Linked DNA regions of Ovis aries. The protein of the gene in region 5 purifies or fractionates together with the protein of the main gene of each other region. This does not show direct contact. Links are inferred from orthologs where the notes say so. Each region holds a gene or a part of one and is shown on either strand. Other genes may lie near its edges. The genes, in order: NEK2, ANAPC7, ANAPC11, MAD2L1, CDC27, CDH1 and TTK.

Region 1 (4,296 bases), on a different chromosome or scaffold from region 5:
TAACGCAACGCTCTTGAATATTACTTTAAAAAAATCTGGCTGGCAATTCCGATCATGTAATATTCAGTACATGTAATGAATTCCTCATTTTTAACATAAAGAGGATTGTAATTCTTATTAATAGAAAATCAGTTTCCTTTTAATCCCATGCTAAACAGATATTTAAAGAAAATTGACCTATTTGTGCATTGCCAAAGTATTAGCCTTCTTGTAGTGTATAAATTCCTCCATCCACCCCTTAGATAGAAGGCTCCAGGTGCAGTATCCCAGGTAAAAGTGGGACAATTCCAGCTGGCAGGGTGAGTTGAAAATGTTGGTTTTTGTGCACACTCCAAGAGGCTGCATTCAACAAAGTGTTTCAATTATTTATGTGCCTGGCACCTCAGATAATCTATTCAGAGTGCAAAGGTAGTCTTTTCTAACAACAACAACAAATTTTAAGTCTTAAAGGTAAACCTGACTGTCTCTGCCTTACATTGTTGTTTAGTCACTAAGCTGTGTCCAACTCCTTTGTGACCCCACGGACTGTAGCCCACCAGGCCCCTCTGTCCCTAAGATTTCCCAGACAAGAATATTGTGGGCTGCCAGTTCCTTCTCCAGGGGATCTTCCCCACCCAGGGATCAAACCCGCATCTCCTGCATTGGCAGGCACATTGTTTTACCACCGAGCTACCAGGTAAGCCCATCTCTATCTTATAGAACCACCATATTCTTCTGGGTATTTCAAAACATCAAGGACTTCCATATTCCATTTTCCACCTAGAGATTTTGTACACGTCTGGTGTTCAAAAATATACTCTCTCTAGGACGGCTGCACCCTAAAGTCATGTGAAAACTTTAAATCATTACTATAAATATCCACTGTTTTTGCATTGAGTCCTCGCTTTTGGACCTAAAGCAAATACTGTGACCTTTCTACCCTTCCGTTTCTTCATGGGAAATAACGCTAATTCCTGTATTACAAACCAGACAATACATGTAAAGTGCTTGGCACAATCCCTCAGCACTGTCGGCCTCACTCGCGCACCCTTTACAGAGGGCCGGTACTTTTCACCTCTGCACTCAGCTTTTCTCCCAGGATTTAGTATATGACCCCGCCCGGGTTCAGGGGGCGGGAATCTGAGAGCGGAGGGCGCGTGCCGGAGAGTGAGAGGTCACAGTGCAAAGGTCAGAAGGCAGTCGGTTGAGGCTGTGCGCTAATAACTGAAGAAAGATCTCTGGACTTAGGTTGCCTCGGCAACCTCAGCGGAGGAGGCACAAGGTGGCGGGGACCGCCCACTCGCTGCAGCTTTCGGTCCCCAGCCCACCTTGGGCTTTAGCTCCGCCCCTTTCTCCCTGGAGGTTGGCAGCGGAAGTCGACACAGACGCCGACGCGGTTGCCTAGCGATACCTTTTTCCCAAGATGCCCAGCGTGTTGTGTTCTTCTTAACCAATTAGAGAGGCGAAGCGGCCTCACCGCGAGCCAATAGGCTGCGAGGTCGGGGCCCGCGACGGTTAAACCGGGGCTGCAGATCAGGGCGGCCGAGCGTCGGGGCTGGAGCTCTGAGGAGACTATACGGCCCGCAGACGTCCTGCGCGGGCCCCGCCATGCCGACTCGGGTGGAGGACTACGAGGTGCTGTACACCATTGGCACCGGCTCCTACGGCCGCTGCCAGAAGATCCGCAGGAAGAGCGACGGCAAGGTGAGCGCGGGCCTGGTCCCTGCCTCCGCCCCCAGGCCGCCCAGAGGAAGCAGGGAGCCTGGCGGTGTGCATCTGAAAAGCAGGGTGCTCAGAAGAGCCAGCCTTCTCCCCCAGATCTGTGTCTGTCCTGGGTCTCTCGAGGGATGGGAAGCCGCATCCTTTTTTTTTTTTTTTTTTAAATTTGTGAATCTGTGCCTTAATTCTTTGTTGTTGTTGTTCTGTCGCTCAGTCGTGTCCGACTCTACAACCTTGTGGACTGCAGCACGCCAGGCTTCCCTGTCTTTCACCAGCTCCCGGAGTTTGCCCAAGTTCATGTCCATTGAGTCGGTGATGCCTTCCAACCATCTCGTCCTCTGTCGTCCTCTTCTCCTCCTGCCCTCAGTCTTTCCCAGCATCAGAGTCTTTTCCAGTGTCAGCTCTTATCACGTGGCCAAAGTAAAACTAATAAAATGTGCCAAGTAGAATGTATGTATATATATATGTATATTTCTTCTTCTCCTGTCTTTTTTCCATTCTCTTCCATTTTCTTCCTTTTTTCTGCTTTGACCTGCCATGGGCCTTCTGTTGGTGACTGGTAGCTGACTCCTGAGCTGTTTTTAGAGAAATGTAATTCTCTATCATAACCATCAGAACCTAGAACTTTTATGTCTTGTAGTCAGAATTCATTTAGTTCAGTTCAGTTCAGTCGCTCAGTCGTGTCCGACTCTTTGCGACTCCATGAATCGCAGCTAGCCAGGCCTCCCTGTCCATCACCAACTCATTATTCCCATTGTTAGATTCATATCTCCCAAGGTGTGTGGGTAGACCCACACAGAAAAATAATGGAAAGGAAGTTAGCTCAGATGGAAGGGTCTTTACTAAGTTCTCTTACCCTAGAAATTTTGACTAGTTGGAATGGTTGGGGACTTCAATCGCCTTTGCTCCAGCTTTGATTAGAGTACCTTCTGCCAACCTCCCACTAGGCATTGAGGGCAGAGGGTTGGGGGCGGCCTAACCTCCCTCGTCACCCTCTGTTGCATCATTCACTGCTTAAAAATTAGGGGAAGGTTATGGAAATAAACTCAGGGGTCCTCAGCTCATTAAACTAAATTAGATAAATAGTGACTGTATGATCTGTTTACTAGATAAGTAACTTTTTTTTTTAATTTGAAAAATTTGGAGTTATAATGAGTTCATTTATACCTTGGAAATTTTTATTTCAGATATTAGTTTGGAAAGAACTTGACTATGGCTCCATGACAGAAACTGAGAAACAAATGCTTGTTTCTGAAGTGAATTTGCTTCGGGAGCTGAAACATCCAAACATTGTCCGCTACTATGATAGAATTATTGACCGGACCAACACGACCCTGTACATTGTCATGGAATGCTGCGAAGGAGGAGACCTGGCTGGTGTGATTTCAAAGGGAACCAAGGAAAGGTAAGATAAATTCATCTCTTAAATGGGCCTAGTTTTGTTTCTGGAAACATCCTATATTAGGATCAGGGACAAAGTACTTAGTAATGGGGAAGAGTCGTCTTGTGTTTGTTCAGTGGGTCCACAGTACTTTAGAAAATCCCTGGTAAGTCAACACTTGAATTTCATATCCAAATAATTTATTTCCCTATGTGTATACTTAGAAAACTAGATAATTCACATCCTGTCATCTTTGTAATGGTTTCATTCAGCAGATACATGCTACATAACTGCTTTGATTTCAGACAATACTTGGATGAAGAGTTTGTTCTTCGTGTGATGGCTCAGTTGACTCTGGCCCTAAAGGAATGTCACAGACGAAGTGATGGCGGCCACACTGTGCTGCATCGGGATCTGAAACCAGCCAATGTCTTTCTGGATGGCAAGCAGAACGTTAAGCTTGGAGACTTTGGGCTAGCTAGAATATTAAACCATGATACAAGTTTTGCGAAAACATTTGTTGGCACACCTTATTACATGTCTCCTGTAAGTATTTCAAAATGTATATACTTTTAAAACATCTTAATGCTAAGCATTCAAGCAAGGAAATTTATTTCTTTGTTTAGTAATATCTAATAGCCAAGAATTAATAATACTGTTTTATTTTAAATTGATAATTTTCAAATGGACCGTCAGACCACTAAAAGATTATTATTATTTTTTGTTTTGATGTGGACCATTTTTAAAGTCTTTATTGAATGTGTTACAGTATTGCTTCTGTTGTTTATGCTTTGTTTTTTTGGCCACAAGGCATGTGGGATCTTAGCTCCCCTACCAGGGAGCAAACCTGCACTCCCTGCATTGGAAGGCGAAGTCTTAACCACTGGACCCCCAGGGAAGTCCCACCACCAGACCGCTAAACTTCTATATCAGCAATGCAAGTCAGACTTTCACTGAATGGCTGCCACGTGCTAAGCTTGGGGATCATAGAGATGAAATAGGTTTTGTCTCTGCCCTTAAGTACAGTACTTCCAAAGTGCCATAGGTCCTGGACACCAGCTTGTTCTCAGCTGGAGTGATAGTTTAAAATGCAGAGTCCTGGGCTCCAGTCCAGGGACTTAGGACCTCTGGACTGGTCTTTGCACTCAACTTTTTATCTTTTTGTCCCCTACCTTTTTATTTTGGACTCTGTATTTTAGCAGACTCCTTAGATGATT
Region 2 (3,500 bases), on a different chromosome or scaffold from region 5:
AAGAAACTACAAGCAAAAGTGTTTATCAGTAGGATCTAGTTATAGTGTAGCCCTAGGATGGGATATTGAGGAAGTGAAATATAGCATTGTATGCGCTGATTTGGAAAGGCCTGTATATATTAGTAAATAAGCTTTTAAGCAGTGTGTTTACTCTTTCTGTTTAAAGGTGATAGTTATTTTTTTGGCCACACTTTGCTACTTGTGGGATCTTGGTTCCCCAACCAGGGGTTGAACCTGAACCCACCCTGGCCCTCTTGGCCGTGAAAGTGCGGAGTCCTAACCACTGGACTGCCAGAGAATTCCCTGAAGGGGATAGTTTATAGACATACATCCTGCTATATGCCTAAAATATATATGGGTAATATACATGGAAAATTTAGCATATGTGTGTGAAGAAAATTAACAAAACTTTATAGAGGGGGGGAACCTTGACTTTCAGTTTGAACCTGTCTTTAAATTGTACATACAATTTACATTTAAAAGGAATATCAGAATGAACTGAAGTGAAATTATAAATCATGTTCTGTATTTTTCCACTAAAAAAAAAGACAGAGTAATATAATTGCTTTTTTTTTTAGTGCCTGTACATTTTTTTCTTGTTTTATTTCTCTTTATGTAGAGCCTTTGTTCTTTGTTACTAAAGAGCTGATTGCCAGGAGTTGTTTTCTGACCCTGAAGTCATGTGTATTATCCACACAGAATAATTCATAGAAGTAACTTTTGGGGGGCATTCAGTATGCTAAGCCCTATGCTTATTTAATCTTGAAGGAGTTTTTTAAAAATTGAGATACAGTTTACAACATAATTTTCACAGTTCAGGGGTTTTAGTATTTTCACAGAATTGTGCAACCACCACCACTAATTCCAGAAGGTTTACATCCCTCTAGAAAAGCCTTGTTATCTCTCTAGTCCCTGGAAATCACTGACCTTTCTGCCTCTGTGGGTTCACCTATTCTGGACCTTTTATATATGGAATCATGCAGTGTGTGGCCTTTTGTGGCTGGCTGCTTTTACTTAGTATGTTTTCAAGGTTGATCCATATTATGGCACATAATAAAGAAGCAGTTGTGTATTCCTTTTTGTTGCAGAATAATATTCCATCGTGTGGATGTGCCATATTTTAACTGTTCATTAGTTGGTGGGCATTTGTGTTGTTTCTGCTTTTTATCATTAATGATGCTGTGAACATTTGTGTGCAGGTTTTTGTGTGGACATAGGTTTTCAGTTTTCTTGGCTTGTGTACACAGAAGCAGAATTACTGGGTCATATGGTAATCATGTTTAACATTTTGAAGAACTGCCATACTTCTGAAGTAATATTTTGAAGAGATGTTTTCATTTCCTCTTAAGTGTCTTCCATCTGAAATTGAAGTAAAATACAAAATGGCTGAATGTTATACAATGCTAAAACAAGATAAAGATGCCATTGCTATACTTGATGGGATCCCTTCAAGACAAAGAACTCCCAAAGTAAGTTGAATTAACAATTTGGTTACATACTTTTCTCTTCCCCTGTCCTTCCAGCTGTCTTCCTCTGTGTTTTCAGGGACTACATCTGAACATTTTACAAACCTTGTCTCTTATTCCCACTTTGTTCCCCTGTTCTCCTTATTTAGAGAGAGGAGTGGCTTTCTTATAAGACCCTGAAAATGCTGCCGAGGAAAATGGTAGCTGGAGAGTACAACGTGTGTTTAATTATTTTGTTTTTCTTATTGTAGGAAACATGATTTGAATATATTTCCAGGTAGCAACAGTACTTTTTAAGAATCTCATTTTTTGCATTCCGTAGGTATGCCCATTTGATAATGTGTATTCCTTTTATTTTCAGAATTAAAACTTCAAGATTCTTTGTACGTGTTTGTGTGTAGGATATTATTTGTGTTTTATTTGGCAACAATAGTATATAGCACACCTCCAACTGAGATCAGAAGATCTAGTCTCTTGCCTTTGCGTTTAGGGCATACAGGCAGTGTGTGGTGAGCTTGGGCAAGTTAAAAATCTGGCTTTACTTTTTTCCTTGTTGAGGATGATAATACTTTCTCTGGTATAAACTAAGTTCATGTATGTGAGAATACTTTTTAAAGTATTATTCTATAAGGAGTATTAGGCATCTGAATACAGGTTTTCTTGAAGTCCAGTTTAGAAGAACAATGAAAATCTTAGCTCTTTGGAGTGAAGTCACATCATTATTTAATATTCTAACACATACTTTCATGTCACCTACCTTCCTCTCTTCATTGAAAAACTGTGCAGTGTAGTTAACGATAGGAACTTTTGCACATCTTCCCTGCCATTAAAAGAAAAGGAATTATAAGCAGTAGGGACCAGGTGTATTTAGTGTTTTTTCACCCAAGTGTTACTGAGTTTTAAAAGTAATCACACTTGATGAGAACATGTTTAAGCATCTTCTCATGTTGAAGATTTATTTAATATTTTCTGAATTTTAAAAATTAAGCTATTTCTTCATATTTTATGGTGATAATTGTTATTTAAAACATTTGTAAGTATATTATAGACTAACCTATCTCACAATAAGCTGGACACTGTATACTTAATTATATTCTGGTACGCTATGAAAGTCTTACCCTAAGAGTAATTTTTTTGTATATATGAAGGGTGTCTTCGTTTGGAAAATGCTGCTTTGATTGTAAGCTTTGAAGGATACCTATTCCTTATCTTATTGGAAACATTCCATAATTTCTTCTTAATGACTTGAGGGAGTTTGGGGGCATTTTTAAAAATGAGTAATGGCCAAGCACGTGAGCCTTGTGGTATCCAACACTTTGGTGTTTACAGCTGTCATTTTAGGAAGAGCTAGAGGAGTCCACATACATTAGGAGTACATATCCTTCATAGAGCTGTTGTAGCCAGGAGCAAACAAAGATGTGTGCCTCCAACATAAACCTATAATATTTACAGTTTTTCTTTCTTGTCCGTTAGGGAGTTAACTGGCTTCTCAGTCTGTGTAAAGGACAAGGAAGTGAGTCAAAATACGTCTAAATGAACGTCTGTTAATGTATGGTAAACACCGCCACACATTCTTCACATTTTAAAGGAAAATTCCAGTGTGAGATTATCATGTCGTGGAAAATCTTCAGCTTTTAAGAGAAACATACCAAGAAACAATTTGTCACTCAGTTTTTAGAAAATGATGACTGCTTATATTTATAACTGGTGGAATGCAACTTAAATGATGTCCCCAAGTAAGGATCTATTTTTAAAAGGAATTGACTTTCTAACTAGGTGTAGTTCTCAAAATTCAAAGTGTCAGGTAGTTTAAAGGGAATTTTTAATATTTGTTGAGATAGAAGGCCCGTCAGTCATAGTTCATTAATAACAAGCAGTCAAGAAAGGATTTTAAATTTAATTCTTTTATTTTTTTCAAGTATTGACACCACTACTGGAGTTTTCCTTTAAGTACCTTTTTTTTTTTTTTTTTTTTTGCATTTCAACATAGCCTAAAATGAAAAATCTGAGGCCAAATAAAAAATAGTTTAATTT
Region 3 (2,763 bases), about 4.5 Mb from region 5:
AGAGGATCCCGACGCTTAGCATGAGTCACTGTCAGCATGGAAGGTGGTGTCAGATTCCCCACTAATGGACGTGATGGCTAGGGTACCCCTGCCAGCAGGCTAGTTGGCCCCTGCGCATCCTCTTGCATCCTCTGTTTGCAAGGGCTCTAATGTGTTAGGCGTGATTCCAAGTGTCGTTCTGCTGAGGTGGGAAAGACCCTGGGTGGGGGTGGGGTGGGGGTGGGAACCAAGAGAAATCAGGTGTCACACCCTGTGGGCTCCTGGCACAGGGCCGTCCACCTCACCCCCCCACCCTGGCCTGGGAAGCAGAGTGAGCTAGATAGTTTTGTATTTGCCAAGTAAATTGTTTTTTGGTTTTGTCATAAAAGATTCAGAAAAGGAGTGATGTTTTGTTTTAGAGAGGATTACTTTTAAAAGATTGGGGGTTTGGTGGGGAGAAAAGATCCATGTATATGTATAACTGAGTCCCTTCACTGTTCACCTGAAATTATCACAGTGTTGTTAATCGGCTATACCCCAATACAAAATAAAAAGTTAAAAAAAAAAAAGATTGAGAAACACTGCCCCAAACAAGAGAGTAAGAAGATGGCAGTGCCCATCTGTCTGACTCCATAGGGTGAATGTACCACTGTGGGGCAAGGGCTGCTCCCAAACTGGGAAGGAGGTGCAGGTTTTCAGCAGCCTTTGAAGGATATTTAAGACCTGGCACCCACACCAGCTTCCTGGTTGGCATGCTCCCTTCAGGCAGTGGCGGCTGCCCTCGTGAGTCACGTGGCCTCCTGTCTGTCCCTGGGATGTCGGTGGGTGATAGAGACTGTGGAGCACTGTGAGGTTTGGACAAACGCTCAGGTCAGTTTTCCAGCTCCCTGTGCAGCTCAGAGCAGGTGCTCCATTAGGTCTTGAGAGCACTGTGGCTTCACCGTGGTGTTATCTTTTAACACATTGTACAGTCACCTGTCCCTGTGTCTGGTGTCAAGAGAGAAGACCAGGACCACAGGTGACCAGGCCAGCACTTAGGAACTACTTCGTGGACAAGATGTCTCCTGTTTACCCCAGCTTATCTGGCTGGTGCACTGTGTGCCCTAGTGACTTCTGGATTTGGCTCACGATTGATAGGCATGAGGGGCCCCATGGCAATGCTTTAGGGGAATGGCCCCCCTAGAGGGTGGCGGCAGCAAGCTGCAGCTCCCACTGCTCATGGGGACCTACCTGCTGGGGGAGGACATTGTGCTCTGGCAGCACCAGCTGCGTGATGGGGTTTTCTAGATTCTTAAAAATCAGACTTGTTTCTCTTGATGCCAGGCCCTCTTCACAGTGGTAGCACGTGCAGGTGGGCTGGAGGGCCAGCACCAGGTTCTCTGGGCCGCAAGTAGGATAGAAATGGGGAGGAAACGGGAGGCAGTGCCACTTCACTCCCAGCGGCCGATGGGCTGGGCCATAAGCCCCTGTGTCCCCGACCTGCTCCCTGGTACTGAACTGGGTCCCTACTGCCTGGGGATGGTGACATCTAGTTTCTAAGGCCCTGGCTCACCTCACCTTGAAGAGGAATGGTTTGCCGCTCAGAGGCGGGTCACCTGTGCAGGCGCCCTGACACACTGATGTAACCTTCTTGGCATCACGGGTGCCAAATGGCAGAGCTGCGGTGTGTCTGCAGATGGGCCCAGGCCCTGGGAGGCCAGTGGGCGGGGGTTCAGGCCCGGCCAGAGCTCTTCGTGCTGCTGAGCTCCCACATGGAGGCGGGAGCAGCCCGGGTGGTCTTTGCAGAGGTTCATGTAGAGGCGGCTGCTTGGCCGAGTCTGTGGTTTCCTTCCAGATTCCTGTCCTCTCTGAGCCCTGAGGCCACCCTGGGCATGCTTCCTCCATCGGACTTGTCCTGTGCTCTCGGCGACTCACAGGTCCTCTCGTCCCTCGCGCAGGCAAGGTGCCGGGTGACGACTGCCCGCTGGTGTGGGGCCAGTGCTCACACTGCTTCCACATGCACTGCATCCTCAAGTGGCTGAACGCGCAGCAGGTGCAGCAGCACTGCCCCATGTGCCGCCAGGAGTGGAAGTTCAAGGAGTGAGGCCGTCCGCACTGCCCGATGCCCCTGCCCTCACCCTGAGATGGCCTCACCCCCGCAGTGGCTCTGGGTGGCTGTCTCCTCCATGGGGACAGTCTCCTCTGGCCTCTGACAGGGTTGAAATGAGGACTGGAACTGCGTTTGTTTTCTCCCATCACAACGTTGACATTTTATCAAATAAATAAAACTCATTAAACCACCTAAGCCTGGCCGGAGGCTGCAGTTGCTTGTTTTCTTGGTGCTGAGGCAGCCAGTACGCATACTGCTGTGTGCGCCAGTATGAAAACTCATGAATAAACATCCCAATGTGATGCCGAGAGGCCCTGAGTCACACCCCTGGAGAAGACTGAACCAGGGATCAGCCAGAGGAGCCAGGGTGGGAGGAGTGGGCTCGGGCTGGAAGAGCCTGGTGGGGCCCCTCTCTTCAGGGTGGTCGCTGGGACCCTGGCTGGACACAGCTAGCAGGCACTGCCATGCTTCCTCCCTCTGGAAAGCTGTCCCCAAGTAGGTGCTGGCTGTGTTAAGAGGGCTTTGTCGAGGCAGCTGTGATCGGTGGCCTCAGTCCCTTTCTCCCAGCTCCTTGTCAGGGCCAAAATGTCCTTGACATCAGGACATGTGTCCGCAGGTGTCTGAGGGTCTCCCCATCTAGGGAAGTCAGCCCTTGGGACATCCTTCAGGCACCTCTGCTCCACCTCAGCCCCCCT
Region 4 (3,223 bases), on a different chromosome or scaffold from region 5:
AAACTGAATTTAGGATCATCTCCATTTCAGTTCTCTTTCCTCTTGGTGACTGGATCAACCATCCGACTACTGATATAAATCAGAAACTTGGGAGCTATCCCTGATTCATTCCTCTTCCTTACCCTGAGGTAATCCAATAAGTCTTAACAGTTTTAACCATGAAATCTCTTGAATCTGTCTACTGCTTCATCTCTACCAGTGTATCTTCTCCAAGTCTTTATTAGCTCTTGTTGGAGTTATGCATGAATTAGTGCCCTAGATCCCCTGTTTACTTCCAGTTTACGGGAAGTTTTGTTGTTTCAGCTAGCTTCATTTTCAGATTACATCATTGCGTTTTCATTAACTTCAGAGCTAAGCCACCCATAGTCATTCATACGGCTGCACTCAGATTGTTTGGTATGAAACCTCTAGGCAACTGTGGATGTTGCCTAGAGGCCAAGAAGGATAGTTTTCCAATACAACTTGAATCACATCATATGCTGCTTGAAACACAGTAATGACCACTTTAGTTCTTAAGAGTGTCACATCTTTAATTTGGTGCTCATGACCTCGTGTGGTCTGGCCCATTTATCTTGTCAGACCAGCCTTGTCCATCCTCCCTTTCTTAAACTGCAGTTGTATTGGCCTCCTTTCAGTCCTCTGATCCAGTGCTCTGTTTTGTGTCTAAGACCTATACCTTTAGCAGGGAGATCCCACATGCCACAACTAAGACCTCACACCGCCAAAATAAATCCATCATTTCATATTTTAAAACCTATACCCTCTTTCCTGTTTTGCATACATATACGGTTGTCTCTTAGAACAAAACTCAAACCCCCGAGTCAGAATTTCCTATTCTGTGCTTTAATTGTAGTATATGTTGCACCATCATAGGTAACCGCTATTATGTCATAGGAAACTGCACCATCATAGCAGTTAGAGCAGTTATAATTTCACATTTATTGTTGTGATTTGATTAATGACATCTCCTTCACCCTTCCCTTGGATTACGATGGAAGTACCTCGTGTTCACTGTCTTAGCACCCAGTGCTATACCTGGCACAAACACTGAGAATCTGAAATCGGGAGCTAGGCCATTGATGGGGCAAATTTTCTGCACAATTTGGAGGAGAACGAAAGTAGCAGTGGGAGAAGTTTGCTGAGGATACGAAGTTGGTCTTGAGAGGAGAGTTGCTTTGTAATGCAGTGAACTAAAAAAGATGCCTTGTTTTGTATATTGCAGAATGGTTATACAAGTGTTCAGTTCAGAAACTGGTGGTAGTCATCTCAAATATTGAAAGTGGAGAGGTCCTTGAAAGATGGCAGTTTGATATTGAGTGTGACAAGACTGCAAAAGATGACAGGTAAGTAGAAATTACTTCCATTTTCGTATGTTTTTAAATTTATGTTCTTTCCCAAATGAGTTCTAATTATATGGAACAAGTTTCATATAAAGTACAATTTTTTTCTAGGATGTTTATTTTTTTAATATAAATTTATTTAATTGGAGGTAATTACTTTATTGTATTGGTTTTGCCATACATCAACATGAATCCGCCATGGGTATACGCATGTACCCCATCCTGAACCCCTATCCCACCTCCCTCCCCGTACCATCCCTCTGGGTCATCCCAGTGCACCAGCCCCCAGCATCCTGTATCATGCATCAAACCTGGACTGGCGATTCATTTCACATATGATATTATACATGTTTCAATGCCATTCTCCCAAATCATCCCACCCTCGCCCTCTCCCACAGAGTCCAAAAGACTGTTCTATACATCTGTGTCTCTTTTGCTATCTCACGTACAGGGTTATCAATACCATCTTTCTAAATTCCATATATATGTGTTAGTATACTGTATTAGCGTTTTCTTTCTGGCTTACTTCACTCTGTATAATAGGCTCCAGTTTCATCCACCTCATTAGAACTGATTCAAATGTATTCTTTTTAATGGCTAGGATGTTTAATTTGATCCTTAGTCTTCTGTGGCAAAGAATAGTTCACTGTCTTATGTAGATAATGTACTTTTAACATAATTGCCTATGGTGTAAATTGGTGAATTTCACCCTTCAGTGTTTATGGTAGTATGTACCTGGTGGTCCGTTTAGTGAATTGTTTAAAGGTACTTCTAACCATCAGGGATTTTCCTAGATTCCCCAAGCCTAAGATTCAGCTCTATTGTATTTCATTGAATGCCCCAAATTTTCTAAGACACTTCATAAAAAAGTTTCCAGAGCACCTGAATGGGAAATGCTCATATGATCATGTCTAGCATTGTCCTAGGCTTGCTTACTGGTAAATTCAGAATCATTTTTCATAATGAAATGTAGTTTGCTTCTGAAGCCTTTGGGTTTTTTAAGGAAATTTTTAGCTTATAAGAATAATTTGATATTTAATTTAATATCTTTTTTGAGGCAGTAGGGAATTAAGCATTAGGAAAAATGCACCAACAAAATATTTTAGGTACTATAATTTTCATTTTTTGAAAGGTACTGTAGTTTTCCTAACTTTAAGCACTTGGCCAGTTTTCTGATTATCTGATACCAAATGACCTGATTTTAAGACCACCCCTAGAAAATGACTGGAATGATAAATAATAAAATGCATATGCCTCTTGTGGTATATAGGCCCTAATGATATAACTTACCAAAAAAAAACACTCCATTTTAATGTATTACTTATTTGATCTTGGAGACATTTAATCAGTCTTACCAATGTTTTAAATAATTTATTAACACTTAAATTGATTTGGTTTCAATAGTGCACCCAGAGAAAAGTCTCAGAAAGCTATCCAAGATGAAATCCGTTCAGTGATCAGACAGATCACAGCTACAGTAACATTTCTGCCACTGTTGGAAGTTTCTTGTAAGTATTATACAACTTCACATTGACTTTAAATTTGTCAGGGAAAAGACTAAGCTACTATTTTAAGAATTAGCCCTTTATTAAATGCCAGGGTCCAGCCCTGGTGGATCCAGGGTGATTCAAAGGTGGGGATGGAGTCGGCGTCCTTGGAAAAATACATATTTAATTACAGATATATAGAGAGATTAGAAACGGATAGTGTAGTAGGAAGATTAGTGGAGAAAAAGAGGCTGAATAACTTGGATTACGTGGAATAGCATCCATGCTCCAGATGGGAATTCAGCCAGAAAAATGAGGAGCAAGAAAGAACAACATGGGGGAATCAGTCTTTCTGGAAACTGATCGGATTTTTTTATTTTTGGGTTTGCTTATATA
Region 5 (3,997 bases):
AGCTTTAGCATCAGTTGTTCCAATGAATATTCAGGACTGATTTCCTTTAGGTTGGACTGGTTAGATCTCCTTGCAGTCCAAGGGACTCTCAGTAGTCTTCTCCAACAGCACTGTTCAAAAGCATCAATTCTTCCAGGCTCAACTCTCTTTGTGGTCCAACTCTCACATCCATACATGACCACTGGAAAAACCATAGCTTTGATAAAATGGACCTTTGTTGGCAAAGTAATGTCTCTGCTTTTCAATATGCTATCTAGGTTGGTTATAGCTTTTCTTCCAAGGAGCAAGCATCTTTTAATTTCATGGCTGCAATCACCATCTGCAGTGATTTGGAGCCCCCCCAAAATAAAGTCTCTCTCTCAGAGACTTTCTCATCTTAACGCTAATTTCCCTTTCCTCTCTTCTGGATTTTTACATCACTTATAATGGGTATCACATAATATAACATTCTTTGTTACATTACTTTTCCGTTAAACAGACCGTAATCTGAGGAGAGGGGTCAAATTGAATCTTTAAATAGTGGCTGCTGCTGCTGCTGCTAAGTCGCTTCAGTCGTGTCCGACTCTGTGCGACCCCATAGACGGCAGTCCATTAGGCTCCCCCGTCCCTGGGATTCTCCAGGCAAGAACACTGGAGTGGGTTGCCATTTCCTTCTCCAATGATAAAAGTGAAAAGTGAAAGGGAAGTCTTTCCAATTTCCTATTTCCCTTTGAGCCATGAATAAGAGTTCAGGAATGGATAAATGACATAAACTTAACCGACAGACATCTCTTAATTAATTAAAATCAGCCCCAAACTCTTGAGTTTAACCCTCTGCTTAATCCCGCACCAATTAATCCAGCAAGCTTGAACGGCGAATCAAGATTGAAGCCTGGCCACGTAACGCTCCCGGCCGACTCCAGCACGCCACGCCCAGCCTATTGGTTACCGATTGGGCGTGCCCCTGCCCAAGGGCCGACGGGGCGTGGCGTGCGTGAGTGAAGGCGTGATCGAGAAGAGGAACATACGCTTTGGATCACGCTCGGTCGTCTCCGGTACTCCTCGACAACTTCCGGCAACGGTGTTCTCCTCCGCCGATTCACCTCGGGTATTTCCGGTCTCCTTCGGGCCTTTCCGTCTGGCTCCCGCGCGCGTCTCTCCACTTCGGGTTTTTCCGTGTCCCGCTCGGAGGTACTCGGCTCTCGCTCGGCCTCCCCCATCCCCCGGTAACGGTCGCTGGTGAGTTTAAATGAGCCGGGGCTGGCCGGGCCGGAGTCGCTACGGGGGGGGCCTGAGGCACTGCAGAAAGTGGGCCTGAACCTCCAGGATGACGGTGCTGCAGGAACCCGTCCAGGTAATGGTAACCCTCTTCCCTGAGGCTTGGCTCGCAGCCTCGGTCGGGAAGCGGCGTATGGCCACTTCGCGGCCTGGTGCGGCCTAGGCCCTGCTGCTTCTCCCGCTTCACCTGACGCCGGCTCCTGCCAGTCTTCTCGTCAGTTCCGAGGCCTTGCCCGCAGCCTCAGCAGCGTTCCCTCTGGCCCTGCGTTACTTCTTCCCCGGGTGTGAGTGGAGTTCGGCGATAATCCCTCCTTTTCCCTCCGGGCCAATGTCGGGCGAGCCCCTCCTGTCAGCCCAGGGGCTGGGCCCGGGCCCGGGTGAGCGATGAGGGGCCGAAAACTCGCCCCAGGTGCTCTCTTGCCCAAGGATGGTTGGGACGCACATTTGATCAGCGCCTGTACGATCTTCATAATGGTGGGGCAAGTTTGCGGGGCGAGTGTTGGTTTTGTTTTTGTTTTCTAGGAGAAAGTGGAGGGAGGGTAGGATCGGTGTTTTTAATACTGATTTCTGTTTTGCTGACAAACTGTCTAGCCCACGTTGCCTTTCCTCGTTCACTCAGTTTCCCTCCGGACAATGATCTGCGAAGAGAACCCCAAGGCCCAGTGCAGAGGCGCAAGCACCTATACAAGGGGAGGGGTTGGAAACAGCAAATCGGTTTTTTCCATGACCTGTGATGGGGATCAGGAGTGTTTTACTGTGCATGTTTATAAGGCGTTCAGGAAATGAAAGACAAATCATGATTTTTCCATCCATACTACACCAAGGTTTGCTTTGACGCACAGTGCTCTGTTGGCATGTAAGAAAACCCTATTGGATTTTAAGGGTGTGATGCGGTGCCAAGTCATTTCCCCCTCCTGCCATCTGAAGAAACTAAATCTTTTGTCCCTTGGTGATGGACCAGGTCTGGGAGACTTTTTACCCTATCATATGATCTTTGACTTGATTAGAAGAGTTGACCTCTATCAGCTGATGTCATTGAGTCATGCACTTTATTTTGAAAGCAAACCGATTTTAGAAATTGCTTCATGTTACTCTTAAAGACCTGTGATATCAAATAGTAAAATATTTTACTACATCACTCCTTCCATATTTCTTTAATTTTTTTCATCACAGGATGAAATACCAGTTACTCCTAGTTGGCTCTTTCTTTAGCTGTTTACATGTAGCAGCTATTAATTTTTTAATTAGTGTAATGTGGGATTCTGTCTTCTGTACAGAATTGTACCAACAGTTCTGTTTGTACATTATACTGGTGCTTTCAAAGCTGTTTCTTTCCATCCAAATTTACTAGTAAAGAGTCCCTTTTTAATTTTTTTTTTTTGAGACCTAAGGTGAAATTGTAAGTTGCTATCTATACCTTCTAAAATGGATAAGCAGATTACTCAAGTTGTTTAATTTCTGTTTCATGTTTTTGTTATTTTGTCTTAACAATTAATGATACCTTTGCCTTATAGATATGGCTTCTAAGATGATAAACTAGTTTTATGGATAGCCTGTGCATCTGTGGCAAGTCACTTCAGTCGTGTCTGACTCTCTGCGACCCTGTAGACTGTAGCCTGCCAGGCTTCTCTGTCCATGGGATTCTCCAGGCAAGAATACTGGAGTGGGTTGCCATGCCCTCCTCCAGGGGATCTTCCCCATCCAGGAATCAACCCTGTGTCTCTTACATCTCTGGCATTGACAGGCGGGTTCTTTATAACCAGAGCCACCTAATTTGCATAAAAGCATGGAGATAAATATGTAGCCAATTCCTTGATAAAGATATTCCTTCTGTGATAAACACATCAAGTTTTCTGTTTTTCATTAAAGTACTCTTAGCAGTAATGCATTTAGATATTTTTAGGGCTCAAGAGTCAAATTTGTCTACTCCCCACACACAAGCCACTGACAGTGGTAATAAGTTTTAGGATATAATTAGGTGAGAATTTTGGTTCTAATTTTTAGTATAAGAAGCCATTCAAGAAGGGATCTAGAGCAATAGGAGAACAATCAACACTGGCTTTTTAAACTATAATAAGTGATTGCTTGTATTTGTAGAGGAATGAGAGTAAGTTGGAAAGGTGTGTCCTTTTGAGGGTTGTCTCAGGGTTTGAAGTGTTGTTGCTGCTGCTGCTGCTGTTAAGTTGCTTCAGTCGTGTCCGACTCTGTGCGACCCCATAGACGGCAGCCCGCCAGGCTCCGCCGTCCCTGAGATTCTCCAGGCAACACTGGAGTGGGTTGCCATTTCCTTCTCCAAAGCATGAAAGTGAAAAGTGAAAGTGAAGTCGCTCAATTGTGTCCGACTCTTAGTGACCCCGTGGACTGCAGCCCACCAGGCTCTTCCATCCATAGGATTTTCCAGGCAAGAGTACTGGAGTGGGGTGCCATTGTTATTAGGCATAGAAAAAAGTTGAGAGAAAAGATGAGCAACTGAGTTTTTCTTTTTTTTTAAAGCTTAAACATGGAATACTCAGTTTGATATACCATGTAAGCCTAAATATAAGCACTTCTTCCAAATTATCTCTTATAAAAAAGTATTACTTTGAGTCTTCAAAAATCTCTCCTATTATGAGGCAGAAATTCTGTCATTTATTTAATTTTTAAAATAACTATTTGGGAAGGAATAATTGCTAGCCTAAGTGACTTGAATCAGTGCTAATTTGAATGTGTATAAAATCCACCTGATGAAATTGATTTTTAA
Region 6 (3,500 bases), on a different chromosome or scaffold from region 5:
TACTAAAATTACACACAATTATTAGTTGTCTAATGTCTCCCTAGCTAGACTCTAAGCTCCATGAGAACAGAATGATGGTCTGCTGTGTTTGTGATAATATGCCCAGTGTCTAAGACAGTGCCTGGTATAAACCCAGAGGATATTTATTCAATAGATAAAACCTGGTAAGATCTGCTACTAAGATGCCCAATATGAGGACATGGATTCAGGAGGTGCATTTTGCAGCTTCAGAAACCTAGGCCAACAGGCATCAGGCTGACGATGACAGACAACTGGCACCTCAACTTGCTTGTTCTTTAGCTTGAAGTTGAATGGTCTGGGAAAAGTTACCTAAGGGTTCACCCCTGAGATACTGGGAAACAACCAAGGACCTTTCTTTGGAGACTGTCTAAGAAGGGGCAGGGTTACCGTGGTCGGGTCGAATCTGGGAGCATTATCATTGGTGTCCAGGACTGTGATCACGGCCGTTGCAGTTGTGCTCAAGCCTTCGCCATTAAGGTCTGCTGCTTGGACCATCAGGGTGTATGTGGGAAAACTCTGCAGAGATCGAACACAGCCGAGTCAGGACCCACAGCTACATCAGATCCCACCCAGCTCCCAGCAGAGAAACAGATTACTTTTTCATCTGCTTAAATACCAATAACTCCACCTGCCTGCCTGGCCTCAAATCTCTAGACAAACTCTGAGATGCAAAGTTCAGACCATCACCATGCTAAATGGTGACCAGCCTTGGCAGAGTTTTACATCATCCAGGAAATGGAGTTAACATTATTTGCCCTCCACACCCTCTGGATCCTCCTGACCCCTGACCTCACGGTCCAGCCCGGTGGTGAGCACACTGATGACGCCTGTTTCCTTGTTGATGGTGAACATTTTGTTGTGTGGCAGCATGGGCTCTTGGGCTAGGATTTTGTAACCGATGGCAGCATTGTGGGTGTTCACGTCATCATCTATATCTGTGGCTGTGACCTGCATCACAGAGGTTCCTGGAAGCAAAGAAGATTCGTTTCCAAAATTCTGACCAAAGTGCTTAGTGGAGGAAGAAAGCATTCTACCAAATGAATGAATGGTGTTCCCAGAACCCACCTGGTTCAACTGAAACATTTTTGCTCTGTCTCATACACTAAATGAATAGTGCATAAGAGAGGAAAAACCCCAGAAATTGCCACAATTCGCTTCCTAGCCACATTTCCGCCTGAGAGAATGGTCATCTAAGATCACTGCCTTCAAGGTGGAAGGAAATATTGATAACGTTCATGACAAATAACTCTTTAAGAATCAATAGGCAGGGAATTCTCTAGTTGTCCAGTGGTTAGGACTGTGTGCTCTCACTTCCAAGGGCCTAGGTTGAATCTCTGGTTGGGGAAGTAAAAGTCCCAAAACCGAACAGTGGGGTGGGGAGGGGTGGCAGAGGGTGGGGAGAAGGAGAGAACCAATAGACGAAAGACAAAAAGCCCAAGAGAAAAAAAAAAGGGCAAAAGACTTGAACATTTAAGTTGTAAAGAAACCCAAATGGTCAGCAAACATATGATGCTTCTTTACTCCATTAATAATCATAGAAATGCCATTTTACATTACACTGATATATAATCATATACTCAACAGACTGGCCAAAAAGAAGTCTTACAATTCCATGAGGTATATTGCTGGTAGGAGTGTAAATTGGTTCAACCACCTTAGAAAACTGTTTGTCACCGTGTAGAAAAGTAAGCAAAACTCACAAGGTGTTACCCAGCATTAAGTACACACATCAGAAGATGAATGAAAGTAAGGGAATGATTATCACAAAAGTCAGAGTGAAAGTTGCTCAGTTATGTCTGACTCTTTGTGACCCCATGGACTGAACAGTCTATGGACTTCTCCAGGCCAGAATACTAGAGTGGGTAGCCTTTCCCTTCTCCAAGGGATCTTCCCAACACAGGTCTCCTGCGTTGCAGGCGGATTCTTTACCAGCTGAGTCACAAGGGAAGCCTATAAAGGTCAGGGTAGTGGCTGCCTTTAGGGGACAGAGAGAAAAATGTGATCAGGAAGGGACTGTACAGGGGCCGTAAACTCTTAACAAGATCTGTTAACTTTTCTTGGCTGCGCAGCATGGGGAATCTTTAGTTCCCCAACCAAGGTTTGAACTCACACTCCCTGCATTGGAAGTGTGGAGTCTAAACCACTGGACTACCAGGGAAGTCCCCAAGGATCTATTTCTTAATCAGGGAAGGCTATTCTTAAACTGCTCTGTATTTGTTTATTTATTTAGCTGCCCCAAGTCTTAGCTGTGGCATGTGGGATCTCTGGAGTATGGAGTCTTAGCCACTGGACCACCAGGCAAGTCCAAATTGCTCCTTCCTTAAACTGCTCTTGGACATTTTCTACATGTTTCTGTCAGGAGGATATTTTACACACACACACTATCTTCCAAAGAAGTTCTGCGCCTATGAAAGGCCTGACCCCAAATGCCAGCCCCAACACTTGGGGAAGGGGGGCGGTCCAAAGAATCTAAATTGTCTTGGTGGGTGTTGAGCTCCTCGTGGCTGGACACACCTGGAAGAGCGCCTTCCAGGACAGACCCCTTGAAGACCTCCTGGGTGAACTGGGGCTTGTTGTCATTCTGGTCGGTCACTGTGATCACGATCTCCATAGGCTCTTCAATGGCTTGTCCATTGGAAGATACGGCATGAGAGAAGAGCTGCAAGAGCCAAGTGAGGGTTACTCGGGAAGAGGACATGGGAGAAGGGGTCCGACCAGAGCAGTGTGGGCTCCACTGGGCCCCACTCCCTTCCACTCAAGTAAGGACTCCCCAGCACAGAGCTTATCCCACACACATGCTGCTGCTTCAGTGAGGTCATGGCACTGGTTAAGACTACAACATGGGAAGACGCATGGGCTGGAGAACACACCTACCAGGTCAAAGGCCCCATTGCCCACATGGGGGCTGAGGACCAGGGCTAGGAGATAAAGGTGGAAACCTGAGACTCTCTGACTTACTCCAAGCAGGGTCAGATCTACTCTGGACACTTGAGTCTAGGGTTTCCCCAAGACCTTTCTGCATTTGGCATCAAGGCATTACCTCCCAACGTCCCTGAGCTCACACTGCTCTCAAGGCCCAGAAATGATTTTTGTTCTCCAACATCATCACCATCCTCTGCCTTTATGTCATCATTGTTGTTTAGTAGCTAAGTTGTGTCTGACTCTTTGCAACCCCATGGACTGTAGTCTGCCAGGTTCCTCTATCCATGGGATTTCCCAGACAAGAATACTGGAGTGGGTTGTCATTTCCACCACCAGGGGATCTTCCTGACCCAGAAACTGAACCTATGTCTCCTGCACTGGCAGGCAGATTCTTTACCACTGAGCCAGCAAGGAAGCCCGTCTGCCTTTATGTCAGGGACTTTTAATCCCAAGAATAGGTTGACATCTTGGGTCTAAGATCATGTCTGATACCTCGAGACTCTCTCCAACTTTATTCCTAACAAAAACAGCCCCTAGTTTTTCCCAGGTTCTCCTGT
Region 7 (3,500 bases), on a different chromosome or scaffold from region 5:
GGGTAGATGAGTCCTTATTTAAAATCCTTAGCTTGCTCAAAACTGAATATGTAACACGTTGATAAGTGGGATATAAGACATTATAATACTGAGTAAGGTTAAACCTTGTTTCTAGATGAGAGGAATTTACCTATTTACCATGCTGCATTGTAATGCATGTTTAGCTCAAATGACTACTGACATAATAGAGACAGGAAGTTTTGAATAGAGAGAGCACAGTGCATGAGAAATAATAAGACTTTTTTAGAAAACTTGAAGACAAATTTGTTAGGGAAGTGATGGGAAATGAAACTGGAAAGTGAAGTTAAGATCAGAACAGATTATGGGTAAAAACAAAGTTCTGAATCTGTTATGTTTTAGTAAAAAGCAAAAGCAGTAATTTTGTTTGTAAAAGGAAATATTTAGCCCTTATTGAAGGTAACAAACTAATAGAAGGGATGATAGTTTCTCTTAAAAATCTAAATTTAATAATGTTTAGTAATGACTAAAGTGACCTGACAAGGACACTGACATTAAATCATGTTGTCTTTTAAAATCTATTAACACCAAAGAAAATTAAAAGTAAATTACAATGTGAAAATTACGGAGAAATGTGGGAAACTTGGAAGGAGAAGAAAATGACCATAGGAGCTGCTTATCTTCTGTAAACTGGTTTTGTTTGATTGATTGAAAAGTGAATTGAGGAGTATGGAGATAATATTGGGTGGATAAGGTTGTAAAGAAGGTTATGTTAGGGCTAGGACCATACAGTTTCTAACTTTTTAATGAGTCATTGATGAAGAATTTTCCAGGAAAGTTGGTACTGGTGGTGGTAGGAGAGGCTAAGGTTTTCTTTGACTTGGTAGGATGCTAAAGTAAAGTTAGGCTGCTACAGGATAGTTTTCTGAGACTGCATATGGTATTTTAAAGCTACTTATAAACATTTCCAAATTCTCTTTTCTTCAAAATATGCAGCTTTTTACAGTAAAACATACCTTCTTAAAAGATATATATGCAGTAAATAAGTTGTTTACATTTACATGAATTGTTAAAGTTTTAAAAAATATTTTAAGGAGTTTGTGTGCATTCGTACTGAGAGTATAAATGATTACCTGTAATTTGAAAGAAAAGTGCAATTTGGCATTTGTTTTTTGACTTTCTTTTTTTGCTATATTTTGTCCCTTATTCAGATAACTCAGGAACTGTTAACCAAATAATGATGATGGCAAACAACCCAGAGGATTGGTTGAATTTGTTGCTCAAACTGGAGAAAAACAGTGTCCCTTTAAATGATGCCCTTTTAAACAAATTGATTGGTCATTACAACCAAGCAATTGAAGCACTTCCTCCAGATAAATATGGCCAAAATGAGAGTTTTGCTAGGATTCAAGTGAGATTTGCTGAACTAAAAGCGTAAGTATTAGCATTTTAATTGTATTCAGCCAACTACATTACATAACACATAACTACATCACCCAAAGGTAAAATGAAAACATGTTGTCAGAACTATTGTAAGAAGTTTAATATTTTTTTTACCAAGTCTTTTTGTTTATAATTAACAAGTGAATTTGTAAACTTTCTTTACAATGTACATATTTCCACAAAAATTACATACTCTAGACTCCACCTAAAATTTTTTTTTAATTAACTTTTAATTTAATTTTACAGACAGAAAACAATATTCTGTGTCTTCTGGGAAATAGGATGAAGAGTTATCAAACAGGCAACTGTGTTTTTTTTCCTTAAAACTTAACTCTGAAATCTTTATTTCAGTATTCAAGAGCCAGATGATGCACGTGACTACTTCCAAATGGCCAGAGCAAACTGCAAGAAATTTGCTTTCGTGCATATATCTTTTGCACAGTTTGAACTATCACAAGGTAATCTGAAAATGTCAAGTCCAGATATTAAGTAAAAGATAACTTCCTATTGTAACTTAAATCATGTGTGTGAAATAGAAATAATGAGGCAAAAGGCATGAAAGTTGGTCAGATGAAAATTCAGGGAAGGATGCTACGTAAGTGTACGAAATATTTGTTATACTAGCCCTTTCACTTGCACATTACACAAGTTAAACTGTTTAACATGAATTGTTACCAGAAGTGAGAAATTGCTTGTTTGCTTATAAATAAAATGTGTGAGACTTGGAATAAATATTTTTGCCTGAGACTTTAAAATTTTTTTCCTAGGTTCTGAAGAATATGTATCTGGGGAGTAAAGGTTGCTGAATTAAAATGACGTATTTTTTACTTTGTTAGGTAATTTCAAAAAAAGTAAGCAACTTCTTCATAAAGCTGTGGAATGTGGAGCAGTGCCACTTGAAATGCTGGAAATTGCCATTCGGAATTTAAATCTTCAGAAAAAGCAGCTGCTTTCAGAGGAGGAAAGGAAGAGTTTATCTGGTAAATGTGTTTGTGTGTGCTAATACTTTTCTGTGGTGTTTAGTCCTACAAAAAAAGGGATTCAGGATAATATTTTATAGAAAAATATTGTTTATTTAGAATGATCAAAATCTAAGGTTAAGTTTTAGATGTAAAGGCGGTAAGACTTGCAGAAGTAACAAAGTCATTACTCTCTTAATGGCATTTTTTTTTCCCTAGTTAAACTCTAATTAGTAACACCTTAAAACAAGTCAGTAAAAACAGTAAGGTCCTGGGACTCCCCTGGTGGTCTGGAGATTGAGACTTCTGCTTCCACTGCAGGGATACAGGTTCAATCCCTGGTAGGGGAACTAGGATCCCATATGCCACAAAGCATGGCCAAAAAATAAATAAATTAAAATTGACATCTACAAAAAAAAAAATACACTTTAAAACAATAAGGTCCTAATGTATAGCACAGGGAATTTTATTCAATATCTGCAATAAATAGTAATGGAAAAGAATATGAAAAGGTGTATATATATATATATGTATATGTATGTGTAATTTAATTACTTTGCTGTACACCAGAAACTGACACAACACTGTAAATCAACTGTATTTCAATTAAGAAAACAAACAGGGACTCCCCTGGTGGTCCAGTGGTTAAGAATCTGCCCAGTAGCGCAGGGGACCCAGGTTCCATCCCTGGTTAGGGAGTTAAGATCCCACATACTGTGGGGCAGTTAAGCCTGTGAGCTTCAAGTACTGAGCCCTGGGTTCTCTGGAGCCCGCGCACCGCAAGGGAAGATCTTGCATGACGCAGTGAGGATCCCGCGTGCTGTAATGAAGACCCAAGGCAGCCAAATAAATAGCAACCAAACAAACTTGATCTAGGCAAGCGAGCGAATCACATTTTGCTGTTAGAAATAAGGAATGTGCCTTTACTCTGGGTAAACAATTATGTAATTATGAAACAATTATGAAGTATCATTGGAGAATTAGCATTACAGCATCTTCATATCTGAATATCTTATTTAGGGACAAATATTTACTATGAGTTGACTGTTAAAGTATTATGTATGAGATTTTTTTGTGTGTGTGTATTCCTTATGTCTTTACAAATTTAATTACAGTTTCAAAATGTTTACAGCATCTACA

What was found.
Region 1: the proteins of CDC27 (region 5) and NEK2 purify together in Homo sapiens (affinity purification with mass spectrometry; 6 studies listed by BioGRID and IntAct, with this or other methods). This does not show direct contact. The link is inferred for Ovis aries from reciprocal best matches to the Homo sapiens genes CDC27 and NEK2.
Region 2: the proteins of CDC27 (region 5) and ANAPC7 purify together in Homo sapiens (affinity purification with western blotting; 23 studies listed by BioGRID and IntAct, with this or other methods). This does not show direct contact. The link is inferred for Ovis aries from reciprocal best matches to the Homo sapiens genes CDC27 and ANAPC7.
Region 3: the proteins of CDC27 (region 5) and ANAPC11 purify together in Homo sapiens (affinity purification with mass spectrometry; 8 studies listed by BioGRID, with this or other methods). This does not show direct contact. The link is inferred for Ovis aries from reciprocal best matches to the Homo sapiens genes CDC27 and ANAPC11.
Region 4: the proteins of CDC27 (region 5) and MAD2L1 purify together in Homo sapiens (affinity purification with western blotting; 29 studies listed by BioGRID and IntAct, with this or other methods). This does not show direct contact. The link is inferred for Ovis aries from reciprocal best matches to the Homo sapiens genes CDC27 and MAD2L1.
Region 6: the proteins of CDC27 (region 5) and CDH1 purify together in Homo sapiens (affinity purification with western blotting; 4 studies listed by BioGRID and IntAct, with this or other methods). This does not show direct contact. The link is inferred for Ovis aries from reciprocal best matches to the Homo sapiens genes CDC27 and CDH1.
Region 7: the proteins of CDC27 (region 5) and TTK purify together in Homo sapiens (affinity purification with western blotting; 3 studies listed by BioGRID). This does not show direct contact. The link is inferred for Ovis aries from reciprocal best matches to the Homo sapiens genes CDC27 and TTK.

The regions. Positions count from the first base shown.
Region 1 is NC_056065.1:71,252,223-71,256,518, forward strand, and holds the start of NEK2 (serine/threonine-protein kinase Nek2), read left to right. Parts: upstream 1-1,496; 5' UTR 1,497-1,587; coding exon 1,588-1,683; intron 1,684-2,885; coding exon 2,886-3,103; intron 3,104-3,384; coding exon 3,385-3,625; intron 3,626-4,296. UniProt on the Homo sapiens protein: Protein kinase which is involved in the control of centrosome separation and bipolar spindle formation in mitotic cells and chromatin condensation in meiotic cells.
Region 2 is NC_056070.1:54,330,491-54,333,990, reverse strand, and holds part of ANAPC7 (anaphase-promoting complex subunit 7), read left to right. Parts: intron 1-1,349; coding exon 1,350-1,469; intron 1,470-2,939; coding exon of another isoform or gene 2,940-2,979; intron 2,980-3,043; exon of another isoform or gene 3,044-3,202; intron 3,203-3,500. UniProt on the Homo sapiens protein: Component of the anaphase promoting complex/cyclosome (APC/C), a cell cycle-regulated E3 ubiquitin ligase that controls progression through mitosis and the G1 phase of the cell cycle.
Region 3 is NC_056064.1:50,493,498-50,496,260, reverse strand, and holds the end of ANAPC11 (anaphase-promoting complex subunit 11), read left to right. Parts: exon of another isoform or gene 1-1,916; coding exon 1,917-2,062; 3' UTR 2,063-2,263; downstream 2,264-2,763. UniProt on the Homo sapiens protein: Together with the cullin protein ANAPC2, constitutes the catalytic component of the anaphase promoting complex/cyclosome (APC/C), a cell cycle-regulated E3 ubiquitin ligase that controls progression through mitosis and the G1 phase of the cell cycle.
Region 4 is NC_056059.1:5,759,206-5,762,428, forward strand, and holds part of MAD2L1 (mitotic spindle assembly checkpoint protein MAD2A), read left to right. Parts: intron 1-1,222; coding exon 1,223-1,343; intron 1,344-2,744; coding exon 2,745-2,848; intron 2,849-3,223. UniProt on the Homo sapiens protein: Component of the spindle-assembly checkpoint that prevents the onset of anaphase until all chromosomes are properly aligned at the metaphase plate.
Region 5 is NC_056064.1:45,985,436-45,989,432, reverse strand, and holds the start of CDC27 (cell division cycle protein 27 homolog), read left to right. Parts: upstream 1-1,197; 5' UTR 1,198-1,306; coding exon 1,307-1,333; intron 1,334-3,997. UniProt on the Homo sapiens protein: Component of the anaphase promoting complex/cyclosome (APC/C), a cell cycle-regulated E3 ubiquitin ligase that controls progression through mitosis and the G1 phase of the cell cycle.
Region 6 is NC_056067.1:35,666,031-35,669,530, reverse strand, and holds part of CDH1 (cadherin-1), read right to left. Parts: intron 2,681-3,500; coding exon 2,536-2,680; intron 987-2,535; coding exon 811-986; intron 538-810; coding exon 409-537; intron 1-408.
Region 7 is NC_056061.1:6,999,848-7,003,347, forward strand, and holds part of TTK (dual specificity protein kinase TTK), read left to right. Parts: intron 1-1,169; coding exon 1,170-1,392; intron 1,393-1,752; coding exon 1,753-1,859; intron 1,860-2,237; coding exon 2,238-2,381; intron 2,382-3,492; coding exon 3,493-3,500.